Linked DNA regions of Bombyx mori. The protein of the gene in region 1 interacts with the protein of each later gene in a biochemical or structural test. Links are inferred from orthologs where the notes say so. Each region holds a gene or a part of one and is shown in the gene's direction. Other genes may lie near its edges.

Region 1 (3,600 bases):
TCGATCAGTACTTACCGTCATATGGGCCATTGGCTATTGTATCTATTACGAAAAAAAACCACAAATACTTAAGATTAAAAGTGTTTGAAAAAACTCTAGCATTTTTTATGTGTTAATTCGAAAGTATTCTTGCCTAGCTTATTTATTCTGATGAACTGCTGCTACAATCAACGCCCTATAGGTGAACAAAATGTAATCGTTCAAAGCTCTGCCATCATTTCGTTCAGCAATTCACCATCTTCTGCTCCCCACTCCGAACGAGGAGCACTGCTGCTTGAGATACAGGTTTCATCACCTAATTCAAGCACAGATGCAAATTAAGACTGTCTTTCTACTTCTATGCTAACAATAAATAAATAAGTAATAAAAAAATGAGTATCGCCGGCAACCAGCTGTTCTTCTAGCTCTAACTTTTCTATTATTCTCATTTACAACTCCTACAAGCTGATTGAATTTTCACCGCACTCGCACATATCAGCTGTACGTTTTCACCAAGCCTTTTGGTGGGCTAATCGATATATTAGAGATAAAAACTTGTTTAAGCCTTTGCATAAGTTTTACTATTACTTCTTAAGTGAAAATAAATTTATGTGTCCTAAAGTACATATTAATTTATGATAGATATTTTTCAAAACATAAAACAATCGTCAAAGCTTAAAAACTGTTTGAATACGTATAGCAACATTCCGCCATATTGCTCAGAGTGATTTCTTTCAGGCAACGACTTCCTAAAATAGTGATCGAGAATAATCCTAAAATACAAGCCTGAAGGGAATACATGGAATTTTTAATTTATTATATTATTCATTAAATTAACTCAACTCATCTCGTCTCGTCTCGTCTCATCTCATTTCATTCATTTCATTTCATTTCACACCATGTTTCATATTAATCAACTTTATTTCATTTCATAATATCTTTTTTCATATAAAAAGTTTTCATTATAATTAAAATAAGACTTGACCTAAAAGTCTTAGTTACCAGGTCATAAAATTCTTTATTCTGCTTTCAAGAGTCAAGTTGAATTTCATTCATTCGTGAAAGAGCTACCTAGTTGCACGACGTGTCCTACAATTTGTGATAATTTTAATAATTTTTGTGAATTCCAAAAAGGTAGGAAATATTTCAATTTTTCAAAAATATCACAACTCTACTGCATGAAATAATTATTGTCAACAAGAAAAGTTTGAAAATCAAGTTTGTCATTTGTACACACAAAAAAATCTGAAACAATGACGATGTAATTTATGATCGTCGCCATTTTGTGATGACTAAAAGTCTTTGTTCTTTTGTTTTGTTCGTCAATCCATTTAATACTCCGAAATAGGGAATTCATCCGTCAATCTTCATTAAAGTTCCTTCTTTGTTCTAGAAACCACCATGCAGATTTTTGTAAAAACTCTCACTGGTAAAACCATAACATTAGAAGTCGAAGCATCCGACACCATAGAAAATGTAAAAGCAAAAATTCAAGACAAAGAGGGCATTCCTCCAGATCAGCAGCGACTGATTTTCGCTGGGAAACAACTTGAAGACGGACGGACATTATCCGATTACAATATTCAAAAAGAATCTACTCTCCATTTGGTATTACGTCTGAGAGGTGGAATGCAGATCTTTGTGAAAACACTTACCGGTAAAACCATCACACTAGAAGTTGAAGCATCTGACACCATTGAGAATGTGAAAGCCAAGATTCAGGACAAAGAGGGAATTCCCCCAGATCAGCAGCGATTGATCTTTGCGGGCAAACAGCTTGAAGATGGCCGTACATTATCTGACTACAACATCCAGAAAGAATCTACTCTGCATTTGGTGTTACGTCTCAGAGGTGGCATGCAGATCTTTGTGAAAACACTTACCGGTAAAACCATCACACTAGAAGTTGAAGCATCTGACACCATTGAGAATGTGAAAGCAAAGATTCAGGACAAAGAGGGAATTCCTCCGGATCAGCAGCGGTTGATCTTTGCGGGCAAACAGCTTGAAGATGGCCGTACACTATCCGACTACAACATCCAGAAAGAATCTACTCTGCACTTGGTTTTGAGACTGCGTGGTGGCATGCAGATCTTTGTGAAAACACTTACCGGTAAAACCATCACACTAGAAGTTGAAGCATCTGACACCATCGAAAATGTGAAAGCCAAGATTCAGGACAAAGAGGGAATTCCCCCAGATCAGCAGCGATTGATCTTTGCGGGCAAACAGCTTGAAGATGGTCGTACACTATCTGACTACAACATCCAGAAAGAATCTACTCTGCATTTGGTATTACGTCTCAGAGGTGGCATGCAGATCTTTGTGAAAACACTTACCGGTAAAACCATCACATTGGAAGTTGAAGCATCTGACACCATCGAAAATGTGAAAGCCAAGATTCAGGACAAAGAGGGAATTCCCCCAGATCAGCAGCGATTGATTTTTGCTGGCAAACAGCTTGAAGATGGTCGTACATTATCTGACTACAACATCCAGAAAGAATCTACTCTGCATTTGGTGTTACGTCTCAGAGGTGGCATGCAAATCTTTGTGAAAACACTTACCGGTAAAACCATCACACTAGAAGTTGAAGCATCTGACACCATTGAAAATGTGAAAGCAAAGATTCAGGACAAAGAGGGAATTCCCCCAGATCAGCAGCGATTGATTTTTGCGGGCAAACAGCTTGAAGATGGCCGTACATTATCTGACTACAACATCCAGAAAGAATCTACTCTGCATTTGGTGTTACGTCTCAGAGGTGGAATGCAGATTTTTGTGAAAACACTTACCGGTAAAACCATCACATTGGAAGTTGAAGCATCTGACACCATCGAAAATGTGAAAGCCAAGATTCAGGACAAAGAGGGAATTCCCCCAGATCAGCAGCGATTGATTTTTGCTGGCAAACAGCTTGAAGATGGTCGTACATTATCTGACTACAACATCCAGAAAGAATCTACTCTGCATTTGGTTTTGAGACTGCGTGGTGGCATGCAAATCTTTGTGAAAACACTTACCGGTAAAACCATCACACTAGAAGTTGAAGCATCTGACACCATAGAAAATGTGAAAGCCAAGATTCAGGACAAAGAGGGAATTCCCCCAGATCAGCAGCGATTGATTTTTGCGGGCAAACAGCTTGAAGATGGTCGTACATTATCTGACTACAACATCCAGAAAGAATCTACTCTGCATTTGGTGCTACGTCTCAGAGGTGGAATGCAGATTTTTGTGAAAACACTTACCGGTAAAACCATCACATTGGAAGTTGAAGCATCTGACACCATCGAAAATGTGAAAGCCAAGATTCAGGACAAAGAGGGAATTCCCCCAGATCAGCAGCGATTGATTTTTGCGGGCAAACAGCTTGAAGATGGTCGTACATTATCTGACTACAACATCCAGAAAGAATCTACTCTGCATTTGGTTTTGAGACTGCGTGGTGGCATGCAGATCTTTGTGAAAACACTTACCGGTAAAACCATCACACTAGAAGTTGAAGCATCTGACACCATTGAGAATGTGAAAGCCAAGATTCAGGATAAAGAGGGAATTCCCCCAGATCAGCAGCGATTGATCTTTGCGGGCAAACAGCTTGAAGATGGTCGTACACTA
Region 2 (4,520 bases), on another chromosome or scaffold:
ACTTTCACAGATACTAAACATTTAATAAGCCACCGTTGTTACACGTTTAAACCTGAAGGAATTGGTCTTAATATTCAGGTCATACAATCCCTTGTAAAAAAGTAATTCTTCCTAACAAAAACAAAATCAGAAACACAATATGAGATGTGTAGGTATTAAATATCTATGTGTCTAGGGACACAAAATTAAGGAGACCTGTTAATACCCCCGTGCACAAAACAAAACTCTGATGTGGACGTTCCTAGATAAGGAATGTACTTTTGAGTTTGTTGGATTCGCCTCTGAACAAATAAAATACCCACACGACCAAATGGTTTGTTAGAAAAGTCATATTAAAATTTATTTTGCTAAAAGTTAAATGTAACATACTCTGGCAATAATTAGACTACCGTACTTTATGACTTAATCACGAACACTAACGATTACTTCTAACGTCTAAGAGAAGACTAAGTCATCCATGAGAACTACAACTGTAAATTACCTGTACGTAGCGCCGGAAATAATAAAACTACAATAAAAAAAAAATTGTGAAAAGACGTTGAGTTTCAAATGTGTCTACCACACGTGAAGTCGAAGAAAATCTATACTAATATTATAAAGAGGAAAGATTTGTTTGTTTGTTTGTTTCGAATAGGCTCCGAAACTACTGGACCGATTTGAAAAATTCTTTTTCCATTAGAAGCCGACATTGTCCCTGATGAACATAGGCTACTTTTTTATTTTATTTTTTATTTATTTTTTTGGTTTCATGTGTGTTTTAATGTTTCCGAAGCGAAGCGAGGGCGGGTCGCTAGTATTAGATAATAGAAAATAAACATGATTAAGGAATATAATTATAAAGGAAGTGAGCGAATGAAAAATATTAATTGAAGTGAGATATAACACCCTTAAGTGTCCATTGAGATGAATTGAAATCACCTTTCAGAATTTACTGAGCTCAATGGAGTTTTTGGAAGTTGCCGCGAATCTACGTTTAGCGATTTTGTTTCATTTCACGCATTTCTACATGTACTTCAACTGATATTAAATCATAAGTAAGCCACCATTAGGAAAGTTAAGGACCATTACATCTGAATGAACGATAAATTAACAAAATAAATCAATTCACATATTTTGCCCTCTCTCTAAAAAGTCGATGAAACAATTAATTGTTGCCAGTTTCGATTTATAAAATGTTCATGTAGATAATTAGTACAAATCAGCGATTTTTAATTTATTTCCCAATTTTGCGAACTTGCAAATTAGATAAATAAATAAATAAAAATATTCCCCAAAGATATAGTAACAAAAAGTAAGATCGGTCAAGATTATTGAACATAGGTAGCTTAGTATTTATAGCACCTTTCACTTATGTCATAATATCTCTATAGTATGTGGTAGTAAGGAACAGTAAGATAAATTAGCATCACATCTGTGATTTAATATATGGAATTTTATACGTAAATATTTAGTTTTAATTAAGAACACAGTGTGACGACCCATTAAAAATTTTAGCGCATTGTGGAATGAATGTTATAGGAATAGTTAAAGCTACCTTTGCCTAATTGGGCAGGCTAATAAAAAAAATGCAGTTTTATGTTTTGAATTTTGAAAATTTTGATAGATCAACTCGAAATCAAATTTGATAAGTAGTGAACATTTTTCTGAATAATAAAAATTGCATGCTCTGTTGTAGAAAGAGATTAATATTTCGAAATTCCTTCTCAAAACAAATAGAAAAATTCTAAAAACTTAGTGACATTTCGTTTTAGTGTAAAAGGTGATAATAACGCAAGCAAATGCTATGAGCGCCTGACATAAAGAAGGAGAAGCAGAAGCATGTCGAACGTGGAAAACGTATGTCCTCAAGCGTTGCGTGGCGTGGCACGCGAACTCCGACAGCTGGCGGCTAATCCTCCGCCGGGCATCAAACTGCAGCTGCGAGACGACGACATATCTGACATAGTCGCGCTTATCGATGGTCCCGGTAAGAATCTATTCAAATATGATACTGCCCTCACCTCCAGAACCGGTGTGACATTTCGTTAAACAAAAGGCATATCTACTTTCTCATGTCATGTAATAAATCAGAGGTGGAAAGGTAAATGGTCCAATGGCAATGTCTGGATTTGTTACATTGAAGTACATCTCAATATTCAACGTCACAGTTACAATTTATACCGATTTTTTGCTATCTGCTTGATATTTATTTTGTTTTGAATGTCATTACTTATATCTTGCAATGTCTCAATTTTGTATGGAAAATTTGGACATGATTTTTTTTCAATCTGCATCTCCCGTCTTTTAGATATTCAATAATTATGGAGTCCTTTGAAGTCATGGTCTTTCTAAAGATATATTAACAGCTGCAGATATTACATTGTCAGAACTTTGTTTAACTTATAATTTAGACCTCTGAAGAGATGAGGAATAGGAGAATCTGACACTATCTAAAAGTCATAATTTTAAGAAATGTATGATGTGTTCTTTTTGCATATGGGACTTTCTTTAAAACTAAACAATAAATAAATACCTTCATAATGAACACCACACAATATAAGCCACAGATAGGTGAACCAATTCTCAATATATACCACTGCCAGTTATGTTCAAAGTTTTCAAAAAGCTGTTGTCATGTTACATCTTACCTTTATTGGAGAAAAACAAAATCATCCCAAAGAAGTTTAGTTTTAGGACGACATATTTAGTAGTTGTGCAGTTATAGAATGATAGAGAAAATGAGAAAGTCAGGTGTTTTTAGGCCTCTCAAGCACCAGTCCTCCTCGGTTGATTACGACTAACCCATACACAGCCCACTGAGTATCTTGCTGGATCTTCTCAGTAGGTCGCAATTCTGATCTGGTGGTAAATGTTTCAAAGCACTGTTCTTGCTAGGTCTAGTGCTAGCAAATTCTCTCAGGTTGAGCCTGTGAGCTCGCCTATCTGTTCACGAGAAGCTGGAATATCTCCACAGGATACTAGCCAATAAGTAGGGAAAAATTATACATATACACATTTTTTTATGTGTATGATTTTTATGCTTTTTTTTTTCTAATTGAATTAATGTGTCAAAATATTTTTGAGCATTTTTGTATATAGTTGTTATATCTAAAGCTGTAAGCTGTAAGCTGTGTTAAGTAAAATGAGATTTTAGTATGGCCAGAGGTTTAATATTTTTTTTATTGCTTTGATGCATGGACGAGCTCACAGCCCACCTGGTGTTAAGTAGTTACTGGAGCCCATAGACATTTACAATGTAAATGCGCCACCCACCTTGAGATATAAGTTGTAAGGTCTCAGTATAGTTACAATGGCTGCCCCACCCTTCAAGTCAAAACGCATTACTGCTTCACGGCAGAAACAGGCGCGGTGGTGGTATCTACCCGTGCGAACTCACATAAGGTCCTACCACCAGTAAAAACCAGATTCAAGGGTATCAACTAAATTAATGCAAAAGTTGATGATTTCAGCGGAGACGCCGTATGAAGGGGGCGTGTTCCGCGTGCGACTCGTGCTCGGACGCGAGTTCCCCGCCAGCGCACCGCGGGCATACTTCGTCACCCGCGTCTTCCACCCCAACGTCGCCGCCGAGACTGGCGAGGTCTGCGTCAACACGCTCGCACGCGACTGGCGCCCCGAGCTCGGGCTCCGGCACGCGCTCCTCGCTCTGCGCTGTCTGCTCATCGCGCCCAACCCTGACTCGGCACTCAACGCGGAGGCCGCCGCCCTACTGCGCGACCGCTACGACGACTACTTCGCGCGCGCCAAGCTGCTCACCGACATCCACGCGACTCGCAGCCGCGCCCCCGCCCCCGCGCCCGCCGCCGCGCCCGCGCACGCGCCCGCCGCCGCGCCCGCGCACGCGCCCGCGCCGCCCGCCAAGCGCCGCCCCGCGCCTCCCCCCCGCGCAGACAAGCGCCGCATCCTGAAGCGGTTATGAGCCGTCCCGAGATCAAACGATCAGACCACGCAAATGGACTCGTCCAACACGAGCGAACTTTAAGATATTTGCAAAATTGAACTTTAAGTAGTAGGTGAACTTTTTAATAATTTAATGTGTATCTGCAAAAACTGAAATCCTTGCGTTGAGTGTGCGCTGGACAGTCTGCTGCCCTTCCCCCATCTCCTTCCCGAAGCTCTTCCCTCGCGAACGTCGAGTCACTAAATAAAATCTTACCCCAAGTTAATTGAGTTAGAATCCTCCGTGCGGCTGGAGCTGAGCTGCGAGTGGCGCGGCTGGACAGAGCGCTCTGCTGCACGTGACGCTCGGAATATAAATTCACAATATCGCTATTAAAATACGTTTCCATAGATTTAATTCCTAGATTTGTAATATTGTATTGAATTAAAATAGAATAATATATTAATAACTGTGCGTACAAAAATGCGTGTTTTAATTCATAATTATTCAAACAGTAAAAACACCAAATTTTATGCTGTTCGGATATTGAGTACCGAGTACACCGTAATCGTCCGGTGTAGTGGTGTGACGTCACATGTGGGCACGCGTGGGGACGCTGACGAGGTCAGGGCCTCCCCGC
Region 3 (4,520 bases), on another chromosome or scaffold:
AAATAATTACATAATTTATAATTTTAAAACCGAAGTGGAAATATGAATTCAATAAACTTTTGAAAACAAATGTACATTTACAAAACCCTTTGTTTATTTTGCAGTTGTCAAAAACATAGATAATAATACACTTTTTTTTATTGCTCGATTCTCTTCTTTGTCGAATGACTCTGCCAATGTCAGGTAGATAAAATAAGTGATATCAGTACACTTATTGAGTCAAAAATGTAAATTTCAGTACAGTTCAAATTTCAAATGTACGCTGTAATATCATTATTAAATCAATATTTCTTATCATTCTTTTTTCGGATAATTTCATATTATTTGCCTATAAAGTCCATAAAACACTTGTTATATAAAAAAGGAACGGAGTAAAATGAAATTCAGTTGGTTTTTAATTGTAATCAGTTTTAATTAAAGGACACGAAATAGCATTTCACTAAAATTGTGAGAATTTACTGAAACTTAAATGTATATAATATATGTAGTTATTGAAAGAGTTGCAGAATTCCCGTCCAGTTTTTTTACTTCATTAAAAGTGCCATTTTACACAAACTGAACTATTATCCAATAATAGTTATTCAACTTTTGTAGTAGTATTTGTACTTTTTATGAACAAAAAATTGGAAGAAAACAAAATTCAAAATAATTTCTTTCTTACGGCTTGGTGGTTGGAACTTAAAACTTCGTTTGTCGGGTCAGTTAGGTTTTCTATTTTCCGTAGTTATTGGTTTCTTGAAAATATCTTACTGTTGTAATTTTAACATTTTAGACACTTTTTACGACTATTACACATTGCTTTATATTTGTAGTTTTCCAATTACAGAGCATAATGCGACTCAGTGACGCACAATGCCGAATTATGCTGAAGCTTAATTGGAACGTGAATTAGTTTTCAAATACATCAGCAGAGTGCGCTAAGTTAGCACAGTTTTAATTAACATTGATTATTTCTAAGAAACTACGACGAAACGAAAGCCTTACAATTTTTTTCAACATTAAATAATATTACTAACGATAATATAAACAAAATTTCGATCAATGCCAACTTAAAGAAAAAACACTTGTCAATTTTCTGTCACTGAGTCGGTATCGATTGCGAGTATCACGCGAGAGCAGTACTTTTGAGAGTGCTCGATTGTGCGAAGCGTTGCTGTAGTTGGAACATTCAACGTTGAGCATAATGCGCTCTTGTGCTGTAATTGGAAAACTACCATAGTAGTCTATGCGGCATCATGCGTAAAGATCTAATAATAGTCTCCCCAGACCATGGAGTTAATAAATACCTACTAACTCTATGCCCCAGACCGATAGTGAATATATCAGTGGTGACATCTCTATTCACTATCATATTCATAGATTAAAGACTTTATATTGTTATCTCTCTTGAAGTCTGTGTGTAGTGTCGACTATTGAGCTGTCTTATTTACACGTAATATTTATTTTGATTTTGGTACACTAAAATAAATTTTCGGCGGTGATACTCATTATCAAATGTCGTTGAGATCTAAGCTATGTTGTGGCGCGAGTGATAAATTACCACAATAGTAGAAAAAAGTAACAAATATGCCCGGGACTTTAGTAGACAGGCTGCCCTTGCCGAATCTCAAGGTTTACACAGCGGGAAGTGTTTTACTTCTTTCAATAGCTGTCTATCATGCCACGATTGTGACTAGTGATCCAAACTGGCGCGCCAATATCACTCTACAGCGTCAGGAAGCATTGGCTGAGCCTGATGGAGAGGCGCAGCTGGTAGACCAAGCTGAAGTAATGCCGGCGCTAAACCTGAATGCCACCAGGAACTTGAACGAGCGCATGGTGGTAATAATAACCTTCATGATGCAGGAACCGCTTTGTATGTGGGTAAGTAATTCAAAATAGAAATTTATTCGGAAAAAAACCTCATTAAATAATAATAAAAAATACTCAAATTGTTAAAAGATTTATGAACAGTAAAAAAACGTATAATAAAATTTAGAAGAGAGTAGTTTTTAGTTCATTAATAAATAACTCCATAAAATATTAAAATCTGTCTAAAGATGGTTGACTCTGCTTTTATGTTTGACAGGCATTACTCAAAATTATTTACTTCAAACTAGCTGCTTACTAGTTTGCTTATGCTGTAATTTTGCTTTTTAATTGTCAAAGTAACAACAGTTGGAAAGTTCTGGAACAAAAGTAAAATACTAGTAAATGACTCATTACTTAAATCTACGCCAGGTAGTGATCAAGTGTCTTGTTGAGAAGGTGCACACTTGGCCCACCTAGAGAGTTACTTGTTTTCTTGTTTAAAGCTACTGAAAAAAACTAAAAATACCATTTGTTTTGTAAATGTGATTTTCTTATAGTTGGGTAAAGTCATCTAATATGAATGCAGAAGAAGAAAATTAACAATGTAAAAACATTTGCTGAAGGACATGGTGTCCGTTAAAATAGATAAATTGAAAGCTTATTTTCCTGCCTCCTTATTATAAAACTCGTTAAAATTATCAAATTCATTCAGATTAAGGGACAATTCCTTTGCTTAATGAATTTGATAATCAGATAGTAAGTAGAGTTAATTCAAGTTGTGCACTTTTAGTCAATCTACAAACAATCTACAGCTCTACAATTTACTGCACAGGTAATAAGTGATTATTTGAGATCATGGATGTCACTGTGTCAATGCTGCCTTCAACTTTGATACATGGAGTTGAAGTCTAAATGGGGTTCTATAACTAATGCACGCTAAAAGAAAAAAGTAGAAAAATTAAAATTCTGTATTGTTTAAAAGTAATCTGGATGCCATTCATAAACATGTAGATTTCATGGACACTTCCTAACTTAATTACCTAATTTGCATTTGGAAAAAAATAGTGTGCTTATGATGTCATGGGGTGCCAATGTAGTTCCATTTTTTTATTTATTTATTTAATTTATTTATTTAAATAAGCACTGCCACATCACAAACATCTAACATTGAAAATAAATTTAAACAATTTAATTTATGGCCTGATGCATGTGACAACAATGGCGTACATAGCATTGGCAATTCATCGGCTCGAATCGGCATCGGCATCGGTTCCATGGTAATGTCTATTTTCATTGCCTTTGGGGTCTTAAAAACGGGCCACTTTGTGACTGTATAGAGACCATGAGGGCCAGAGCCTTCTTGCCATCTTGTACAGACAGAACTGTACAAGTTTGGCAACAATGATGTGGGGTCAACTCTGTTTCAGCAAGTCCAAGTGAAGAGTTATTGTGTGCTTGAGCAAAGCATTACCTATTCATAGATGTGTTGGTTGTAGATTTCAATGCTCATCGCCAAGAGTGAATGTAATCCATAATCACCAGTTTTACAAGTCCAGTCTTTCACCACTAAGTTAGTCTAATGAGAGCTTAAGTGTCAGAGCGAGTAGGAAGGCATCTTGATTTATGTCTTTGCCTCCAACTCGGGTTTGAACTTCAAAGGGGCATTACCATCCAATGATCCTGGTCTGTTAGCTGCCTTTGATCTGTATGATTTCTGTCTGCTGAATGAATAGAATCACATCCCCAAAGTAGTGCTAAAAATGATAAATAAAAAGATAAATATGTCAACAAATAAATGATCATTCGTTTTTTTGTTACTATCTGCGATGGGCAGACTAGTTTGTTACACAAATGGTTATTGGCCTCAAGACATAGCTCTCTTGCTCGTCAAATTGGGAATCATAACTTTCTGTAGAAATAAACAGAGATACTCCTTCGTAGGAGTTCACAACATACCCATCCCTATAATTGTTTGAAAAAAAACAAACATTTGTTGAAACAGTTGATGGCCGTTTGTCAGTAACTTTCACGCAATTACCGTTCAAAATTGTAGTCTATAAAGTTTCAATTCCGTCGAATGTATAATGATCGAATTCAGACAAGGTTAAATAGTTACATATACAAAAACATCGGACGTACTCGGAGTTTTTGTTTCTAATCTTAAATTTATTTTGCTAAACTCATTCCTATACTCCATATTGCATTTCAAGAGATCATTTTTGTCACGTACTATCTATCACTTGACTAAAATTCTGTCTCGCTGTGACCGCGAGAACATTGCAACACTTACTTATTGTGACGTAAGGAACGGTCGTAGGGGTTTAGCAGTACTATTAGTATTACTGATGTCCAACAGCTCTGCATGGAAAATAAATCATTTTAAATATTAACCAACTATGTAAAATTACCTAATTATTCTAATATTGACACGGCCGCGCAGCGTAAACAACTCCGCTCACACACAAACACAAATTCCCGCCTACACACAAACATGTGAAGAAGGAACCAAATGAATATTATTTGATCACCTTCAATAAAACATACGTATGATATATGTAAGTTGTTTACCTCGAATCACAACTTCCTCTAAGGTTCAAGAAGTTCAACAAACTTAAACAATCACACACCTACTCTCAGTACAATTTATATATTATGTATAACAATATGACAATGTACAGATCCTTGTTGCCGTTATTTTGACAACATAATATTATTTATTTTAAATATTC

Evidence for each region. The genes of interacting proteins can lie anywhere in the genome.
Region 2: of the proteins of polyubiquitin-A (region 1) and ubiquitin-conjugating enzyme E2 S, one has a biochemical effect on the other in vitro, tested with the Homo sapiens proteins (10 studies listed by BioGRID, with this or other methods). The link is inferred for Bombyx mori from reciprocal best matches to the Homo sapiens genes UBC and UBE2S.
Region 3: the proteins of polyubiquitin-A (region 1) and E3 ubiquitin-protein ligase AMFR form a complex in vitro, tested with the Homo sapiens proteins (10 studies listed by BioGRID, with this or other methods). The link is inferred for Bombyx mori from reciprocal best matches to the Homo sapiens genes UBC and AMFR.

The regions. Positions count from the first base shown.
Region 1 is NC_085127.1:9,713,435-9,717,034, reverse strand, and holds the start of polyubiquitin-A, read left to right. Parts: upstream 1-982; 5' UTR 983-1,113; intron 1,114-1,372; 5' UTR 1,373-1,380; coding exon 1,381-3,600.
Region 2 is NC_085116.1:176,179-180,698, forward strand, and holds ubiquitin-conjugating enzyme E2 S, read left to right. Parts: upstream 1-1,493; 5' UTR 1,494-1,628; exon of another isoform or gene 1,629-1,751; 5' UTR 1,752-1,818; coding exon 1,819-1,966; intron 1,967-3,449; coding exon 3,450-3,919; 3' UTR 3,920-4,364; downstream 4,365-4,520. UniProt on the Homo sapiens protein: Accepts ubiquitin from the E1 complex and catalyzes its covalent attachment to other proteins. Catalyzes 'Lys-11'-linked polyubiquitination.
Region 3 is NC_085125.1:14,695,699-14,700,218, reverse strand, and holds the start of E3 ubiquitin-protein ligase AMFR, read left to right. Parts: upstream 1-1,371; 5' UTR 1,372-1,566; coding exon 1,567-1,863; intron 1,864-1,926; exon of another isoform or gene 1,927-2,167; intron 2,168-3,262; exon of another isoform or gene 3,263-3,545; intron 3,546-4,081; exon of another isoform or gene 4,082-4,185; intron 4,186-4,359; exon of another isoform or gene 4,360-4,520. UniProt on the Homo sapiens protein: E3 ubiquitin-protein ligase that mediates the polyubiquitination of lysine and cysteine residues on target proteins, such as CD3D, CYP3A4, CFTR, INSIG1, SOAT2/ACAT2 and APOB for proteasomal degradation.